4 linked regions of the Drosophila melanogaster genome follow. The protein of the gene in region 2 interacts with the protein of the main gene of each other region in a pairwise test. Each region holds a gene or a part of one and is shown on either strand. Other genes may lie near its edges. The genes, in order: cpa, CG14506, CG8141 and CG15549.

Region 1 (5,038 bases), on a different chromosome or scaffold from region 2:
CAGCATAAAAACGTGCCCAGTTTCCTATCGCTGGGGCTATCAATCGCTGCCTCGCCATCTGGAAAACTGCGGTTAGGCTGGTCATGTCTGCTATGTGCTTTATTTAATCCGTTTTCGTCACTTTAATAGAAAAACAAATGATAAATTACAGATATTTACAAAACTGTGCGTTTTGTTGTATAATCTGCTAACTATAAGTGTGGCACTGCAGCCCTGGTTATAAAGTATACGACCAGTCAGCTGATTTTTCAAAACAAATAACTATCGAAATTATTTTTAAATGAAAAGCAATTTTATGAGCAATTTTATAATATGACTTAATTGTCACTAAAACAACATAACAATAGATGATGTTGTTATATTTTCTGCAAATAATTTGCATATAAATGCATTTAGAGGTGGACTTCGGTCTTAATAAGCCTTTTCACATAACGATATCGACCAGCTGTCATCGCTAATTCGACGCCGGCTATACGGTATATTACACAAGTAACAGCAGCTGGATTGTAAATAAAAAAGCGTTAGCAAGATGGTTGGACTCAAGTTTCCGTCGAACCGAACACTGGGCAATATTTGTGTCTACGGTGCGGTGGCCTCCATATCCGCTGTGATGTACATGAAATGGAAGATGGAGGATCGGGTGAAATCCGCAGAGTACTACAAACTGGCCTTGAAGGCACTGCGGAGCCATCGAGGAGCAGTTGGTCTCCTGGGTGAACCCATCAAGGACTCTGGCATCGATCTGTCCAACGCCAACAACAATTGCAATGCGGAGGAGGCGCGTTGTGAGGTGGCTGTGCGGGGCAGCAAGGATAAAGGTAGATCCATCGATTTTGAAAGCAAATCTTTGGCGTTTACCAACCTTATATTTGCAGGAACTTTATACTTTTGGGCGTCCAATCAGCCGGATAGAGGCTGGCTGATCGATCGACTGGAGCTGGAAACAAAACTCAACCCAGAGAAACGATTTTTGCTTAAAAAATCCGAGGAACTAACCTTCGATCTGCCCGAGAGTATAACCAAACAAACTGCCCAGCAAGTTGATTCCAATGTCATTCTATCCGCATCGGATCAACAACCAGAAACACATTCAAAGTGAAGACAATCCGAATGTCCGATTCAATTAGTTTATTCTCTTTAAATTTGACTAATTCAAGCAATCTTAAATGTTTTATAGTTATGTTATTTTAATTACAAATTTATTGTTTTTATAAAATCAAAGTCTTTAGTTATTGTTTGTCAATGGAGAGCTGGCAAAAATGATCAGTGGTTTAGCATAGTTATTATTCATGCTCATACTAGGTGGTTGGTTTGTGAACAATCGGGAAAGCGAAAAACTTGAATGAGTGCTCCTAATGATACCACTTAAAATAGTCGAGAGTCGGCTGGTTGGTCTTCAAAGACACGAAGAATTGACTGGCTCATCGAGAGCGCAGATCTCGAGCTTGATTCGTTTAAAATTAGAATAATACATAGGTCAGAGGACATGATAAAATCCGCGTTTAATGCTCTTCTTAAACGATAAAGGCGACAATTGGTGGCGATCGTGACGTAGACGAGGCGGCAGTGCATCGTTCACCGTCAGGCTAAAGTCATCCAAATCCTTGCAATCAAATCGTCTCCGATCGTACTCGATATATGTGTAGTTATGTTTACGCACTTTCGTCGTTGTATAACACAGTATAAATACAGGCCGTATATATATATATAAGTAGGTATATGTTCGTATGTATATAGCCAATTACAGACATTTGCTTTTTCGGCAGGCACCTGCACCTGGCCGCCCTCGTTTCTCGTATTCCTGCTACTTCGTTTCGGATGCTGTGGTGTTAATGCTGGTGATCGGTTCCTATGCTCGCTTGGCCATGGCAAGTGGAAGACTATTGGGCCGCTTTGTCGACTGTGTCCGCTCCTCTTCCGCTTGCACCTCCTGGTCTTATTGCGTCTTCAGTTCCTTGCCAATGCTGTACGAGACGATTTTGCTCCAGTCGATCTTGGTCCTGGTGATGGGCAACTGGCGACGCATTGCCTTGAATGTCGTGTCCGACATCGTCTGATAGTTCTCCGAAATGGCCAGCTGGTACTCATTCTCGGCGTCCTCGATCAGACGGATCACCTCCTTGGCCACCTGCTGCTCGTTGCTGACCACCACGCTTTCGCGGCACTCCTTTGAGGACACCAGCTGGACGTTGCCGTCCTCGTAGTAATGCACCTGCACCTTGAGCACACCCTTCAGTTCGGCGGTTCCGCTGCCCGCCTGGAAGGTCACATGCCACTGGGAGCGCCATCGGCCATTCCAATAGTTCTTCGGCTGGAACTGGTGGTCTTCGATGCAAATGGTCAGGGTGATCTGGTTGCCCTGCGCCTTTCCAAAAACAGAGCTGACCTGTAGAGAAAATGTTACGGGTTATTGTAAGCAATAGAGCGTTTTTCATTCAACTTACCCCGTGTCTATAATGACTGGCAGTGTAGGCGAGCGTCTCCAGGTCGAGGGCCGCCCTCCAGGGCTCCGCAGTGGCATCTGCCTCTACGTCCTGGTAGTCGGAAGCCTCTTTTCGGAGGTGGTCGTATTTGAAGGCTTGCTTTGTGCGCGGGTCGTAGAAGCGACCGTTTCCTGGAATGCAATTGCTTATCAGTGTGGGGCTCAAGATATCGACCGAAAGCCAAACAATGTGTGTAGGTGACTCATATGGCAGGCTTTGTCCATTTAAGGGCATTGATGGAACTGAACTCACCCAGATCGTTGTGTTCCGATATGATGGCGTTATGATCGGTGCCCTCGATGCGAACCGGAGTCAGCTGGTCCTTGTTGTATTGGGCGAAGGCGTGGCTAGCCCCATCCTTTAGCAGAGTGTCATTCTTGAGGAGCTCCCGCACATCGTTGAACACTTCGTTGAACTCGCCGGGCGGCGCATGTAGGATGAAGTCCGATACGATGCGCACCTTCTCCGCATCGGTGATCGGTGTCTGCTCCATAGTTCCACTGGTGATTCACGAAATCGGGGCTGGGCGGTTGTTTGGTTTGGTCTGGTTTCCCCTCCGGTTCCTAGGGTTCTACCTTTCGACGGGATCTTCTTGTGGAGTGGTTGGAAGTTGCGGTGTCGCTGGAACTCTTCCTTGACCGTTTTTTCGGCGCTGCAATCTTTTTTCTCCGCAATTAATGGGCCAAGACGATGACGATTCGATTCACTTTTTTTTCCACTCTTTGCTAGGGATGGGAAATATTTGTGTACCTGTACCGGATGCGATTCACCGTATTTTACGGGCAGTCTACACTGCTCCATAATCCGACGGGTGAATGGCAAAAGTCTTGGCGCGTTACTTGAATTGCAATAAAAAAACTTTTAACGATGTAGAATGTAATACATTATAGAAATAGTTCCTCGAGACCAATAAATATCATTGCCTGTTCAAAACCAAACTCAATCAGAACTTTTTTAAAGCAAATTATGTTATTGTTGTACATGGTAGCTAGTTTTGGTTATTAAATATTTTTCAGTTATATAAGTATTAAAGTATTGATCAACTCGTTTAAAATTAACCTGTTTGTTTGTGAAAAATAGTTGTTAATAATTCTATTTGAAAGCCCAAGCTGGGCCATTTTTATCTTCCAGCTTCCATTTTTAAAGAAATATTTGTTATATTAAATCCAGTGTAATTGATTCACATCAACGTATTTATCGAGAAGTGTAGACAGTATATAGTATCGATAAAACGAAAACATCGAGATTATTAACCGTTAATTATCGATGACCGAGGAATCGACGGTGTCTCACATCTCTAACGCCGCCCGTTGTTTTTGTTGCATTGTGTTTTTGCTTTTGAATTGAGCGGTTGTCTCGCGCGTCGATCGCAGTTTCAAAATCGGTGTGGCTCCGCAGCTTCGTTGTAAGTCGACAATAAAAGCGATCGAAGTGAAAGAAAATACGTTTTGCGATCTTTTTATTTAAAATAATTCGCCAGAAAGTACAAGTTCACAACGAAATACCATCGAAAAGTGCCTTTTTACCAAAAGTCGTTGGTAACACACATACCAACGCAGCGAACCGAACCACACGCACACAAATGCGCGCGCTTGGCGGTGTGCGTGTAACCACTTTTTTACCTGGTCTTACCTGTTTGCGGTGCGAAAGAGAGGAGGCAACAGAAACGGAGAAAGAGAGTGCCCAAGCGGACGAGTGAAAGATAAAAGTGAACGAAAATATCAGCCAGAGCAGCTGCACCGAAATCGGAATAAGTCAGTTAACAATCAGGGCGCGCACTGTACGAGTTCGATTCGATTGATAATTATTGAGCGGTTGCCATGAAAATGCAGTCCAAACAAACGGTACACTGAGAGAAACGAAACAAGAAGAAGAGTGCAAATAGAATAGAATAAAAAAGAAGTGGAAGTAGAAGTGGGCAACACAAACAAAAGTAAAAGGTGTGTGAGTGAAATAATACTGGGTGATTCACGAAGAAGTGCTCAAAAGTGTTGCGGTTGAAAAAAAGAGAGTCTGCGATGGCGGATCGCCGCTAGAGAGTATGTCCACCAGTGTCCAGCGAATGTCCAGAAGCTACCACTGCATCAATATGTCGGCGACCCCGCAGGCCGGCCACCTAAATCCCGCCCAGCAACAGACGCACCAGCAGCACAAGCGAAAATGCCGCGACCTTGGCAGGCGACTAATCCCCGCGAGACTCCTCCTGGGCGTTATCGTGGCCATCAGCCTTCTGTCACCCGCCCTCGCACTTCACTCGCCGCCGGACAAAAACTTTTCCGGCGACAATCGTAAGCCCGCCTTCAAAAACTGCGCCGGATACGCTCCTAAGGTCAAAGAGGAGCAGCCCGAAAACACCTACGTTCTCACCGTAGAGGCCGTCGACCCTGATCCCGACCAGGTCATTCGATACAGCATCGTCCAGTCGCCGTTCGAGCGACCCAAGTTCTTTATCAATCCCAGCACGGGCGTAATCTTCACCACCCACACATTCGATCGTGACGAGCCGATCCACGAGAAGTTCGTCTTCGTCACCGTCCAGGCCACGGATAATGGTC
Region 2 (6,332 bases):
TACTATTATTTTAGAGAACAGACAATTACAATGCTTTTCTTAGAGTATTTTTGAAGTCATCATATTGCCGGTGATTATATTTTCTTTGGCAATGATCTCAATAGCCTTGAGTTTATTTATTTATTTACTTTAAAAACTTATTATTCCGCTTTGATAACATGATAGTTGTTGTAACACAAAGTCATTCCTTTTCGTTTAAAAGGAAAGTGCTCTAAACTGCTGCGAAATGTGTGGAAACAATATAACTCTTGTTACAATTACTAGATTTATTTGTCCCGCTAAAAATAAAAAACCTATGATATTACATGCCTTTAACAAGGCACGTTTTTACTATGACTATGGCCATTCATTGGCCTAGACAAAGGCCATTTAAAAACCCATTTCATACAATTAATAACAATAAAATTACACTAAAATTGCAACAACACCGCACACCCCCAACAAGGCGGAAGACAAAGGACACAAAGGCCATTGTCGCAGGATCTGATCCACTTGCCACCGCCGCCGCTATTCAAAGTAACTCGTAACTTTGGTCGCTTCATTCACGAAACGCACTGTACTATATAGTCGGCCACTGGGACACACAATGGGCGTGGCCCTGCGCACTCGACTTCGAAATCCAGAGACACCGAGTTGCAGGAACACATTGCACGTGCGTGAGTGCAACAATTGTCCTGCAAACTGCAATTGTGTCATGTCCTGATCGCTATTCTATCCTGTTTGTCCTGCACTGTCCAGCTAGAGAAGTGTAATTTTCCATTTAAGATCAACGATGTGAAAATTTCCAAGACGTGATTTTTACGTCGTTTTTTCCTTAAAGCGTAGCCATTGAGCTATTGTTTGCGTAGTTCATTAGTTGCCAGGACTCGAGTTCATTTCGATGGACACGTATATGTCGGGAAAATGCCGCCAAAAACGGTAGGTCGGATTTTCCTGCCAAACTTTGCCGCCTCAGCTGCGGTTGAGTGTTTTTTTTTTCGTGTGCTTCTTGCGAGTTTGGTGCTTCGAACATTAAACTAATTTATCACCAATATATGCCAGGATCCTGGGCGCACGGGCTGGGATGGGCTGGGAAAGGACACCCCTTTCGGTGGGAATCGCTCGTGTGTTGGACTTTTGTGTCTACTTACCATAATGAAAACATTTTCAAACATTTTATGCAAAGTCCTGACATGACCTTTGCCGAACCTCAACGCGCCGCGTCTCCCGTTGCGCTCGATGTCCTGTCCCGAGTGTCCTGAATGGGAACTGCAACACACACATGCATGTATATCTCATCCCATCCCTTACCGGTTCGTAATTTGCGATCTGAACTAGTTTTCGGCGTGGCCCTGTCATTATGTAGATTTTTCAGCCCGCGAGTACACGATCGCCCCACAAAAATTGGAAGGGGAATTCGAATACTTAGTGGAAGACACCGATGTTGTTGCTGTTAGTCGGGATGTTCCATGTTCACCGGGTTTGTTTACGGGGGTCATCAGGACTGGGATTTGTTCTCACAGGAAATATATGTGTGCTAGACCATAAACCTTGAAAGCACAAAGAGAACCAGATAACGATCCAGTCCAAATGTATCCACCGGCAAATGGGAAAAGGCAACACAAAGCCGCAATTTGGCTGGTGAAAATCATCGAGGTCGATCCATTTGCAGGACCATATACCCATTTATATGTGCAGCTCTACTACATATCCGCCTCCGCCGCGATGAGTGACTGCCGGGTTTGACTGTCTAAGCCGCAGGTACGAAGTGATTAAACGCCGAGCTATTGCCACCGCAATTAGGATCGCATCGGGATCGGGATCGGGATGCCCGAGATCCCAATAAAAGCCAAATTGAATCGGGGTCGGCAACGGAATTGAGAGCGGGGGCAACTAGTGCAGGACCTGCAAGGATGCAGCTGATAATGGCAAAGAATTGCGTCGTCACAGGTTCACAGAGATGGCCGGCCAAAAAGGAAGACAAGTAGTGCTGGGGGGGGGAGAAGGTAGAACAATTTTTTTAACATCAAACGAATAAAGGTCGCTCTCGCACACTCGTATTTACTGTGGAAAAGGGAGCTCCTGATTTGTTGCAAGATTTCTTCGTAAATGGCATAAAAAACTGCTCGAGAAACAAGGCGACAAGCCGTGGGATCGCCGTGGCCGTGGCTGTGGATCGTTGTTAAGATTGTTAATGGCACCCGACCTGTTCACGTCCACGCTCACACAATGTTGGACAATTAACACGGCCCAGCAAGAAGAAAGCCAGGTTTTTGGAGGCACATCCTTGGGAATGTCGGGCAGAACAGAGGCCGCGCTACAGAAATCAAGGCCCCCTATTTCATCGCATTTATCGCATTCCCGCGCCCCCTCTAGGAATTGTTCATATTTTGTGTATCATTCGGTCAGGGGCAGTACCGTCATCAGCTGATCCAGGGGATTAATTATGTTGACAGGTTGCTGCGATTCAAGTGCCTTTGAATTGGAATTGGAACTTTTTGTGTAATATGTTCACGTTTCATTCAAGCAGCTCCATTCATATCTTCCAGGAATCTAAGTCACATCCTTCGGCTTCCCTCAATTTAGAAAGTGTCCGACTTATGTAATGTATGCCATTTCCTTATAATGAAAGTGTTCTTTGAAGTTTCTTGGGAAATATTGCTTAACTATTGTTATATTGAATGATATATGATATGATAGATATGATTTGCATTTGGTAATTCCTACTCTTTCTGTGCGTACATCTGATCCGCAAACATCGAAATGCTGGGTCGGTCTTTCATCTCGCTGAGCTGTAGGTCGACGTAGTTCTTGGTCCGCCGATAAGCTGCCACATTAGTGTAGCAGTGATGGACATAGTTCTGACCCAAACTGGCTAGAACGGCGTAGCGGAGATCTGACTTGGAAACTTTTCGAAGAACAGGTTTGGGCTTAGGCACTAGGGGAGTGATCGGCAGAAGGCTCGGCAAGGATGGGAGCACTGGACTAGAGGCAGGAGGTGGTGGAGGTATTTTAAAAATAACTTTTGGAACGGCTTTATCACTAGGAGTTTGTGGCAGGGATGGGAGCACTGGACTAGAGGCAGGAATTGGTGGAGCTATCTTAAGAGTAACTTTTGGAACGGCTTTATCACTAGGAGTTTGTGGCCACTTTGGAGCTGGTGGCTCGACAGACTTGTGGGGCACGGCAGCCAGTTTCTTCCGTATGCTCAGTAGGAGCTTTGCCGAACTGGAAAGACCCTTTTCCAGGGCCCTCACCTCGTCTGAACTGGGTTCGAATTTCAACAAGTTAAAGCTCCAGCGGGAGATTCCAATGTCATTGGTTAATGCATAGGCATAGTTTCGATCAGATTTTACGGCGGTAAATGGACTATAGGACGTGGGTTCTACCAGTTTTTGAAGAAGCAATGATCTGTTAATTGGTGGCTTCGAATTCTTCTCTAAAGATTTGTGACCACTTTGTTTGGCGTCGTTTTTCTCTGCCTGCCTTACAGGAGCTTTGTGTGGCTGCGTTATCGTTGCCTTTGGTTTTTTTATGGTCCCAGAGTTTTGCTGACTTCCCTTATTTGTACTTTTTTCTTTCGCCTTGCGACAGTTCAATCGGTATCCCTTGATCAGATGTGGATTCGATTCGATGGCATGCTCCATGTATGAAGTGCGACTAAACCGCACCATGGCGTAGTTAAAGTTACTCATGCCATTCCTCACGCTGACCCTCTCCAAATCCCCAAATTTGCTGAAATAGGTGAACACATCCCGATGGGTAATGTCCTGGTCTAGGTCGGGAATGAACATCAGGCGATCGTGTTCCGGCTCGGGAGGCCGTCGTTCGGGTGGCTGGACTACCACTGTGCCAGGTTGGTACGTTTTCACCTTCTCTTGTAGGGAATGGAAATTTGCTAGGATTGTGGATAATTCAAAGTCCGTGAGAAGCTTAAAGTCCCCGATAGCCGTTCTCACCTGCCTTTTCCCCATAGACACTAGCTGGTTCCCTGGGCATGGCTTCCCCCAGCTGGGATTCACTAATCCTTGCTCTTTTTGGCGAAGGACACGAATCAAGTCCAGGCAAGTCCAATGGCGTGTTGGTCACTCCCAGGGGTTCTAGGGAAATCAAGGAGCTCCATGAACTATCCATGCTTTTTAAAGCCAAGTTGAAATATACTTGGTTGATAGACAAACCCAAAGCCAACTCTGATCAATGACTATTTATTATAAGAGTGGTGAAGTGGGGAGTTTTCCCTTAAAAATTGCCATTCATAGAAATAAATTCCCTAATTTTTACGCAGAATCTAAAGTCTTTCCCCTGAGGTTTCCCCAAATCCTTAAAAGTCAAACCTACTCAAACCTTTCCCATTGCATAAATGAAAATTGCACTTTCAGTTCATCGAGGCCTGGGAAAATTTTTATCCGTTTCGCACAAGGAAATGATTTGCCAAACTGAGCACAAATATTTTCATCGGAAATTTCATAAATATTTTATGAAACTGTAGGATCAAAGTCAAAGCCCCATTTAAGGTCCCCAGAGTGGCTGCCGTGCCATGAATGAATATTCGTAACGGTCGGCATTCCGGCTGCGATTCATGAAACTGTTGCCACCAAATCGTGGCCAAATGAAAGGAACCAGTAGGCCAAAGGCAAAAACCCAGCTGGAATGCGTTGGCAGTTTGAATGTCGCCTCAGGTGACAAATTGCAAGGCTTGCACAGGTTGTTCAGGTTGCACATAGCCGGTGTAAAAAGGACGACGACTCAATGACGCGGCAGGTTTCGTCGAAAAAATGTGCCATTTCGCACCTCCATAAAAACGTGTCCCGAATGGGTTTCCCTGTCATTTGCCATCAATGGACTGGGCGGCCTTCGGTTTCGGTTGCATAATGTTTGACTGCTGGGCGGAAAGTTGCACATGGCTTCTAATGTGCGATTTGCATTCGCAATCGGTCAAGGGTGCACCGGATGCGATGAATGTTTACCCAACTCGCAGAAATCAGGGCGCGCATCCCTTTCACGAATCCATCTGCCAGTGCAGATCCTGCACATCCTTTGCCACCCAGGTTACGTAAGCCATAAACAAGTGGACCATGGCGGACTAATAGACTTGTTGCCAAGGCCGCAGAGATCGCCTCCTTCTCACGCCTCGACTGCATCCGGGATTCCAGCTAAAAACGCGGCAATATCCCTCAGATACTCGGATACTTTGTGCGGACGTGAACTTCAGCCGTTTAGCCATTCAGGCATTCATTGATTCATTCATGAACATTCGCCCGCAAACAATAAGGACACAACTAGCAAATCTCTCTCGAGCACTTCAACGAACAATGAGGAGCCCAAGCAAATTTCGGTACGAGGACATTCAGTGTTCTCACGTTCATTTCGGCGATTTCCTTCGTCTTTGGGTGTTTTTTCGGCTCTTTTTTAATGTTGGCTTAAACCTCAAGTGACCGAGGGTTTGATGATGATTATGATGAGCTCACAGAGAATTTGCGAAAAAAAAAAAAACTAAACGAGAGAGGAGAAAGGAAAGCGGATACTCAGCCACTCAACCGGGTGTCCCGGCATCCTCATCATCCGCCGATCATCCCGGATATAGTTCGATATTTTTTGCGAGTTTCATCATAACGAAATTCCCTGAAATGCCCCAAGAACACATAATAATCAGAAGATAATGCCGTTGATTATCTCGGGAATGTCTATTCATCGCCTGGCGCTGTGTCCTTCGAGTCCTGCCGCCTCGAATTTCCCTCGCCGTGTGCGGCCTGCCAAAAAGTGAGAATTTATGAGGTTTTCACCAGCGCAGCTCTGGTGGTGAGGGAGTTTCCCTAGAAGTTGCGATTGGAGCCGTGCGGCAACTGTGGGAAAACTGCATTTTCCGGCCTGACTTTGGTGTCTACCAGGAATTTCGGCTTTTATCACGGATGCGAGATGTTGTCGTCTGTCGCTCATTGTTTGTACCAAACACAAATTTAATTTGATTACAAATCAGAGACAGGCACACATTTGCATTCAAGACTTTCCCAGTCACCCCGGAACCAAGAACTTAGAACCCGCATCCGAATCCGCATCCGCATCCCTGTGATTTGGTCAAGACATTATGCAGTCGCTCGATAAGCACGAAGTCTGTGTCATTGTCGCCTGATGAAGATGAATGATGTAATAATTCCGTCATAAAAATAACGCATACTCAGCACACTGCTAGCTGAATGTGCAGGGTGGATTTGCTCTTACTCGTACTATATATTGTAGCTTTAATGCGAACCGGACCAAATTAAAGCTTGGAAATCCTCGGCCAGCTGCCAGCTCAACAAGTTCTGAATGCTGTGTGTATACCATGTGGGTTTTCATTTAGAACTGGTTTACTC
Region 3 (3,771 bases), about 16 Mb from region 2:
CTCCACCTAGCTGACGCATTAACTTCTGTCACTTGCCTTTCGGTTATATATCCTTACGGATTTCTCGGCACTCACTTAATTAATGATAAATATTGCCCAGAGCCAAGCCGCTAAAGGCCGACACGCAACTCCAATTCCCCCACGGAGCTGTCATCAAGTGTCCATCCCCCACAAAAGTCGGTTAACAACTCAATTGGGCTAACCCAATTCCCCGAATATTCAGTTGACCATGGTTCATTAGCCAAAGTATTCGGTTCGTTTCTTTCCATACTCCTCAGGTGAAAAGGCTTTAAGTTCCGACTTAAAGCTGCTTAACTTTGCTTACAGTTTTGTCTGGTTTCCTAACTGCCCCAAGAATTTATTGTTTCAGCTGGCCAGGATGCCCCGGTACTTTGCGTTGTTGCACTTACTAACTTTGACTTGGCCAGAGAGTTCATAAAATATTTCTTCGATTCGTTGAAGATGCAAGAGGGTTCCAACGAAAATGTCTTGGCTGCAGAGGTTTGGGCAACAAATTATAATGAATGTTATATACGATTTAAATCATTCGATTTTATAAAATAGATACTTTCAGCATTAGCAGAAATTTATTGAGGTCCGACCAACCTCTTAAGATATTAACCAAAACGCACTCTTCTCCCATTAACCAAAAACAAAAATGTATTACAAAAACACCTCTTAGAACAGCGACAGTACGGACCATATCAGAAATATGAGCAACACGCATCCCAACTGGAACCACTTGAGAAAACTAATTTGTGCTCCGATCCAAGGGTACACCATTGGAATAAGCCTTATAGCGCAGTGAAGATCCCTCTCCCTGCGAATATCAGGGAAAGTCGCTGGGCACCCATCTACAGGATCGTTGACCGCGAACCAACAGGGAAAATCAGTATCAGAGAGATACAGTCCCGTCGGGCGAGGCACTGAGCCCGGCTGGGCCGGCACATTATTATCCTCCTGACGGGCATTGGGTCCCTCTCCATGGAAGGGCATGATGTCCTCGTACATGAGCAAATGTCGTTGACAGCATGGACATCTTGGCTGTGCTGTACCACTCAATTTGGGCCACAGGCAAGTCCAGCAAAACAAATGACCACAGATGGTGATCACACCACCACGCACATACTGGTTGCACTCATTGCACACATAGGGATCCAGATGCAAATTCCTGCGACGGTAGCGAAGTCTAGTTCCAGGCAAGAGGTCATCTTCGCCATCATTTTCCTGCTGCTGTTGCTGATTGACGTTTGCGTTGGACAAGTCTGGTATATAACCCTTTGAAATCACCTCACCTGCTCACCTTGAACATTAATAATTTTCCATTTAATTGGAATGCCTCACCTTGAAGGCCATGACTAGGATTCTCGGCAGTTTCATTCGCTGGAACTTCTTCATTTATATAGCAATGATTTGGTGGATCATTTTCTCTAGCAACTGCTTCCATTTCAAAATCTTTTTGTGATTATTGTTTTTAAAAACCCATGCTCCAAATTACATAAATATAAATTTGTGCCTGGCAAATTTGTGACAACTGAGTCAAAGCAAACGCGACTTTTTATAATATTCTTAACACAGATCTTAGGTACAATAGTAATTTTATTTCTCGATTATATGAAAAGCAAGACATTTTCAGCGACTTAAATTTGAGGGCATATTAATTAATGACTAAGTTTCACCGTAACATAGTTCATGCCAGATTTTGATTGTTTTGCAGACACTTAGTGATTTATATTAAAACCATTCCAGCATTCCGTCCAAGAATTGCAAAACAGCGAACTACACACGCCGAGCATTTGACAGTTCCGGAAAAACGGCGGAAAATCGAAATTCGTAGCATTCGCCAGATGTGTGACATATGGCGGCATAATTTATGCGAAAATTGAACCGGATAGTGAGTGGAAACTTCGCGGTCCGTTGCCGCTGCATTTAAATTCTGACAATTGTTTGCATTGTCCTGGCAGCACGTCTGCGGCATTGTTTAATCCCGATTTTTCGACATCGATGGGGACCATCGACTGCTTGTTAATTGACCCACATTTGTGAGCTGAGTACATAATTAAAAGAAAATAAAGCGCGGGACGGTCCAAATAAACCCGCCGACAGGCGTTCGCACACATAACAATGACAATAATAATAAAAGTGAAGTTTCATAGCGAAATTACACACTCGAACAGAATTAAATAAAGAACTATTACGCAGTGGTGTAAAATAACCTGTTCTTGTTCTGAATAAAAAACAAGCGGGAGTGTTGCGTGGTAAAATATAATGAAATTTAAGTTTTTAAGACCATCTATAAAATATTTTTAAAGTACTATAATTATATGGTAATGCGTAGCAAAGTATTTCCGAAGCTTGTGGACACACCGTGCGCTTTTTACTTACCCAGTGAAATAACAACTAGCGGAAAATAATGCATATTAATAGCGACTTTTTCACATATTACACAACTGCCGACATTTATCAGGCATTAATAATTACGTGTTAATACGTGAAATATGATTAAATTTTTATCAGTTTACATGAATCACTTTCGCACGTTTGCGTGCGAACAAGGACATTTTATTGGCTTCATTTGGCGACGGACCGCAGAGAAACTGACGTTTGCCCAATCGGAATTACAATCGCAATGCCAGTGGTTCTGCGTCATTTGGCATCCTATATCCCTGTCCACAAAGCGAATCCTTTAGCCTGTCCATTTGCCTGCTGTGAGTGGAGGGGCGTAATACACTGCGTATACGTAATGGGGGTGCCCCAGCGTATACGCAATAAAAAGTGGTAAAGCCGAGCGATGGCACAAGGATAACCGCCTGCGCTGGCCATTAAATGCAACAATAAATTCGGCAGTTCAACTCCAGTCAACTTCGTTGGCATGCCCGAAATTTAATTAGTTGGCATTTAACATTAAGCATTTCCACTGGCGCCGCGGCTGTCATTGGGCTTTGTTTTCGTTTTGCTTTTTATGTTATTTTTCAGTTAATTAAACGCACGCCAACATCTCGCCATTCTAAATTGTGCGCAATTAAATTTGGAATTACTTTCAACTGAGTATTCGCGTAGCTCTCGCCAGCGGCGCGGCAATAACTTAACTTGAAATTTTATTGTAAGCCCCTGCCTTGCCAACTGTCACTTTTGATGGGCAGCCATTGGAGCGTAATTAGGCTACTACAACGCTCCTAAAAACCCCTACCCAAATTACCAACCCCTTCTCACTACTTGTGCCAAAAAGCTAACTTTAACTTTTCCAGCTTGGCAAGCCTTTAAGTTCGTACCTAACTTCGTTTGTCTGATGCTCGAAAGTGCACTGTCTGCCGGCTTCATTATGCAAAATGCAATGGTACACAAGCCGATGTGAAGAGGCTGCTTGTCTCCCTTATGAGTTGCACTGTTCAGACTTATCCTGGCCAGAATGGTATTTTTTTGGGCCCTGATGGTGCCCAAGCACTCACACATACACTGCATACACTGATGGCATTTTCATAATCGAGAAAAAAAGGTACCGAAAATGTATGTAATGCCAAATTATTAAGACCCAGAATGAGTAAAAATCTTGGAAAGAAAGAAAATTTCAAACTTCAACCCTATTAACTAACATTTATTACATAGAATTACAAAAATATATTGTATAATTATTCTCAAGGCAGGGCATGCCCACTGCGACTTGGATAAACAATAACAGAGATTCTCTTACACTCGTATATGTTTTTCATATCACCTGCGAAGAAAGCACACACACAGAATCGGTGTGTCATGAGTGAAAAAATAAAGGAG
Region 4 (3,839 bases), 1.6 Mb from region 2:
CTTGACAAGCCAGGAAAATAAACAAACTACACGGAAAGCCAATGGCAAAGCCAAATCCAAATCCATGATTTCAGCTGCCAAATCCTTTTCAAAGCTGCAGCCAGGTGAAAAATAACGAAATATCGTATTTTTCATACATTTTTATCAAATATAAATACACACTCGTATGGGTTCAATCCGCTTGTGCGGCCCAGCCAATCCGAAACCGAACAACTACACAAGTTTATAAAAGACACTCGTTGGCGGCCCTTTGTGTCTTTGTGTTGAGTGCTTTTTGGCTAAATGCGAAATCGATTGGAAAACAATTTCCAATTTTTAAAGAATTATCGCCGCCATATTCGCGCATGCTGTACTAAATCACACATAAGCAACCTCTAAATCTGCTACCCGGGACCCCCAGCCCGACCCCCCACCACCCACCACTCCACACACATGGGCAACCTTTTCGCAAAGCTTTTCCTTTTTGGCTCGTTTATTTCCTTTTTATTTTCCGCTTTTCCAGCTCCCCCGCCCGCCAATATTTTCCATTTCATTTTCTGCGCGGTTGGCAGCGCGTTTAGCTTTGGCTGCATGCCTGACTGACTTTCAGTTATACTAAAAATATATACATTTATATTCGCACACATAAGCTGAACAGCAGGGGAAATGAACAAAAAAAAAAAAAAAAACGAAGAACTATTAGGAAGCAGAGGGGCTTTAAATATTAAAGCGAATACTGTGAAATAGACTAGAGACTAAAGACTATAGGTTGAAATAAAATATTTAGTTTCCCGATTTTAATAGTCTCTCATTCACTTAAAACAGAAAGAAGCTGTGACAAAATATACACAATCCTATTTGCAACGCTCCTCTCTGAGTGCCCTCGGGTGTACCCTTATGGTTGTTATCTCCACCGCAATAGCTACTGAATCCGCAGAGGAGCGAGCTGGTGATCCGGGACCGGGGTCCGGGGTCTGGGAAGGACTTCGAGGACTGGCAACGCAACCCGCAGCCATTTAGTTTTATGTGCCCCGCTCGGTTGGGTTATTGCACCTTTGACTCGACTCCACAGCCATCTGAATTCCACGCCACCTTCGACTTGCTCCGGAGGAGGTGTCACCCTGGAGGGCATGTATCCACAAAGCATCTCGCATGTGAGAGCCATTTATTATTATTTGCTTTCAGCAAATGTGAGCCCGAGGCTCGGCCGCAAGTATTTCCTAATCAGGTTTTAACTACTAATAGGATTTCCGAGGTGGCGAATCGTAATTTACATGGCTTTGGCCGGAGATACCCAAAGAATTGAATTGGAATCCAGAGCAAAGCTGCCGCTAATGTATTGCAGATTATGGTAAATCCCTCGGCACTTCCTTCCTGATTCCCAGCCCCTTAGTCCAAGGACCTCATGCTCACACGTGCTCTAGCACTGAGTGGATCCAATGGAGACTCCGCTCAGATCCCTGAAGCGCCTGAATCGCTCGATTCTCCGCTGGCGAAGGTAGCGCCTTATTTCGCAGGCCGCGTTGCAGGCCACCAGGCCCAGCATGAGGGCCGTGATGAGCCCGGCGAAGATCAGCAGGAACCAGTGGAAGTAGCAGCTCATGGTCACTGGCCTTTGAAGCCAGCCGCTCCAGGATGCGGTGCACTCCTCCTGGACGCACCTTCCGCGCACATTCCTCACACATCCCTTGGCACAGCACCCGTTCGTACTGAAGCGGCCACAGGATGTCAGTTCGATCCTGGGATCTGAGCAGTTCACCGCCGCATACTGCCCCCAAATCCGAGGGATAATTTGGGCCAGAAGGCAGCTTAGGGTCAACAGATTGGCCAACATACTGCACTTTTTGCCACACGTCGAATAGCATGAATTTTGAGGATTCTCAAATAAATTTAAGGCTAAGTCAGTGCTGACTGCAACATGTATTTTAATAAAACTAAAGCAAATAGTTGGAAACTATCTAAGTATTGTATAATTTCATTTTTAATATATATGCAAGGTTGTAAAGTTAATATTTATAATTCCACTTAAAATCGGTTTTATCTCACTCTTTATCTTTATGTTTGTTTCTGGTCTCCAAAAATGCCCTGGCTTTTTCTGCCCTCTCCCGCGCCTCGTTGGCCTCCTGTTCCTGCTCCTGGGGATCCATAGGCGGAATATACTCCGGCGGATTCTGCTCCCGGGCATTTGGGATGAAGGGAGCATGTGGCCAAACGGAGGGCTTAGCCTGCAGCAGCCACAGTTCGTCAAGTTGGCTCTGAAGATACTGGACCGCCTTCTGATGGCGATTGGCCATGAAGTAGGCGCAGCCTATCCAAATACAAGTGATCAGGACTACGCTGGAGATGATCAGCACTTTGGTGGGTATGGATTCCAGTGAAAAGCTCCACGATTCGGATATCGCTGGCTGTTGAGCTGCCAGTACTTCCTGCACCAGCGAAATAGGGAACCACTTTACGGCGATCTTGTAAGTCATTGCGCGGAATTTCTTCAACTGAAGCTTTGGAAATCGTGGAGCTGACTTTATAGGCTCCACTTATCGCAAAGACGACGGGCCTTTCCCAGAACTATTCCATTGGGAGGAGAACTATTCCAATGGGAGTCTTTAAAAAATGTTCCAAATGATTCGAAAATAAAACAAGACTTTTGATATAAAATAAATATTATACTGCATTATATTACTTTCATTTTAAACAATCGTACTTACTTAGCCCTAGATATTAAAAGTGTGAGATTCGTATGTAAAGTTGGTTAAGTTTAAACTTCTGTTATTATTGCTTTCGGTTATTATTCCACAGGGCTTAATTATTGTGGCCAAATGGGAATGGGGAATGGCAGCCGAGTCTTGATTAGAAGTGCCAAATCAGCTCGCAATTCACTCGATTCACCGCTCAAAGAGACCGTAAACCAAATCGGCATAACAAAGTGATTCTAATGTAATTCGTGATTTTGCATAATTATAAAGTTAATAATTAAAATTGCTGCGTGCACAAACCGAAATGAAAACATTAAACTTTAATGATGATTTTGGGCCGTACAGGTGCATTGGTCATTTGGCATTTACAGGGTGGATTTGGCAGGGGGTTCACCACCTCCCATCGGCAAATAAACTAATGCGTAAATATTAGCAAATTCCACCCGTTCCCCCCTTCCCCACCACCAGCAGAATATCCACATAAATTTGAGACACATATGCAGTGCGTTTGTAATAAGCAATCAATTATTATTATTGAATTTCGGGCATGGTCAGGTGCAAAGAGGCGGCGGCGGGCGGTGGGCGTGGCAGCTGGTCAACGCCACTAATGCGTCTAATGAGAATTTAAGCACACTTCAACCCTCTCGATTCGATTTGAACCCAACCCATTCGGAATTTGGGGAATTTTGCGTGGATTTGCACAGCACACACAGCCCCCAAGTACAGTTGTGCTCTTCTCTCGGCTCCAAATGCAAATGCAAATACAATTACATTCGGAACCCATTTAGCGGCATTTCGGTTTGCTTTTCGTACATTTTCCAATTTGTTAGTCGAAACTGCGCAAATCTGTGATTTGCGGTTCGGCGTAGGATTTTTGAAATATGAGTGGATGTTACATATTCAAAGCCATATTATGCGAATACTATTATCGTCATTAGATATATAAGCTATTTGAATTTGTATGATTATTATTTGATTTTAAATTATCTAAGCTGTCTCATATCAAATATGTACAAATCTGAGTGAAAAAGCTAACCTATTTCAAAGTAGATAACCGAGTGTAGATATATCTCAACTGGAAGAGAAGTCATAATTATTGGGTCACCCTGATAAAGATCCCCAAAACAGGATAGTTTCCCCTCTACTATGTTACTATGTGAGGGGGTG

What was found.
Region 1: the proteins of CG14506 (region 2) and cpa interact in a two-hybrid assay, tested with the Drosophila melanogaster proteins (one large-scale study listed by BioGRID).
Region 3: the proteins of CG14506 (region 2) and CG8141 interact in a two-hybrid assay, tested with the Drosophila melanogaster proteins (one large-scale study listed by BioGRID).
Region 4: the proteins of CG14506 (region 2) and CG15549 interact in a two-hybrid assay, tested with the Drosophila melanogaster proteins (one large-scale study listed by BioGRID).

Annotation. Positions count from the first base shown.
Region 1 is NT_033778.4:21,055,960-21,060,997, reverse strand, and holds cpa (capping protein alpha), read right to left. Parts: upstream 3,212-5,038; 5' UTR 2,977-3,211; coding exon 2,736-2,976; intron 2,615-2,735; coding exon 2,445-2,614; intron 2,387-2,444; coding exon 1,937-2,386; 3' UTR 1,115-1,936; downstream 1-1,114. Other genes in the region: mRpL54 (mitochondrial ribosomal protein L54), read right to left, coding at 1-85; CG15653 (uncharacterized protein), read left to right, coding at 530-818, 876-1,099; shg (shotgun), read left to right, coding at 4,525-5,038. UniProt on the Drosophila melanogaster protein: F-actin-capping proteins bind in a Ca(2+)-independent manner to the fast growing ends of actin filaments (barbed end) thereby blocking the exchange of subunits at these ends.
Region 2 is NT_033777.3:29,293,117-29,299,448, forward strand, and holds CG14506 (uncharacterized protein), read right to left. Parts: upstream 4,065-6,332; 5' UTR 3,979-4,064; coding exon 3,939-3,978; intron 3,878-3,938; coding exon 2,703-3,877; 3' UTR 2,045-2,702; intron 1,970-2,044; 3' UTR 627-1,969; downstream 1-626.
Region 3 is NT_033777.3:13,189,377-13,193,147, reverse strand, and holds CG8141 (uncharacterized protein), read right to left. Parts: upstream 1,550-3,771; 5' UTR 1,448-1,549; coding exon 1,345-1,447; intron 1,296-1,344; coding exon 679-1,295; 3' UTR 639-678; downstream 1-638.
Region 4 is NT_033777.3:30,934,646-30,938,484, forward strand, and holds CG15549 (uncharacterized protein), read right to left. Parts: upstream 1,863-3,839; 5' UTR 1,814-1,862; coding exon 1,400-1,813; 3' UTR 751-1,399; downstream 1-750. Other genes in the region: CG15550 (uncharacterized protein), read right to left, coding at 2,022-2,453.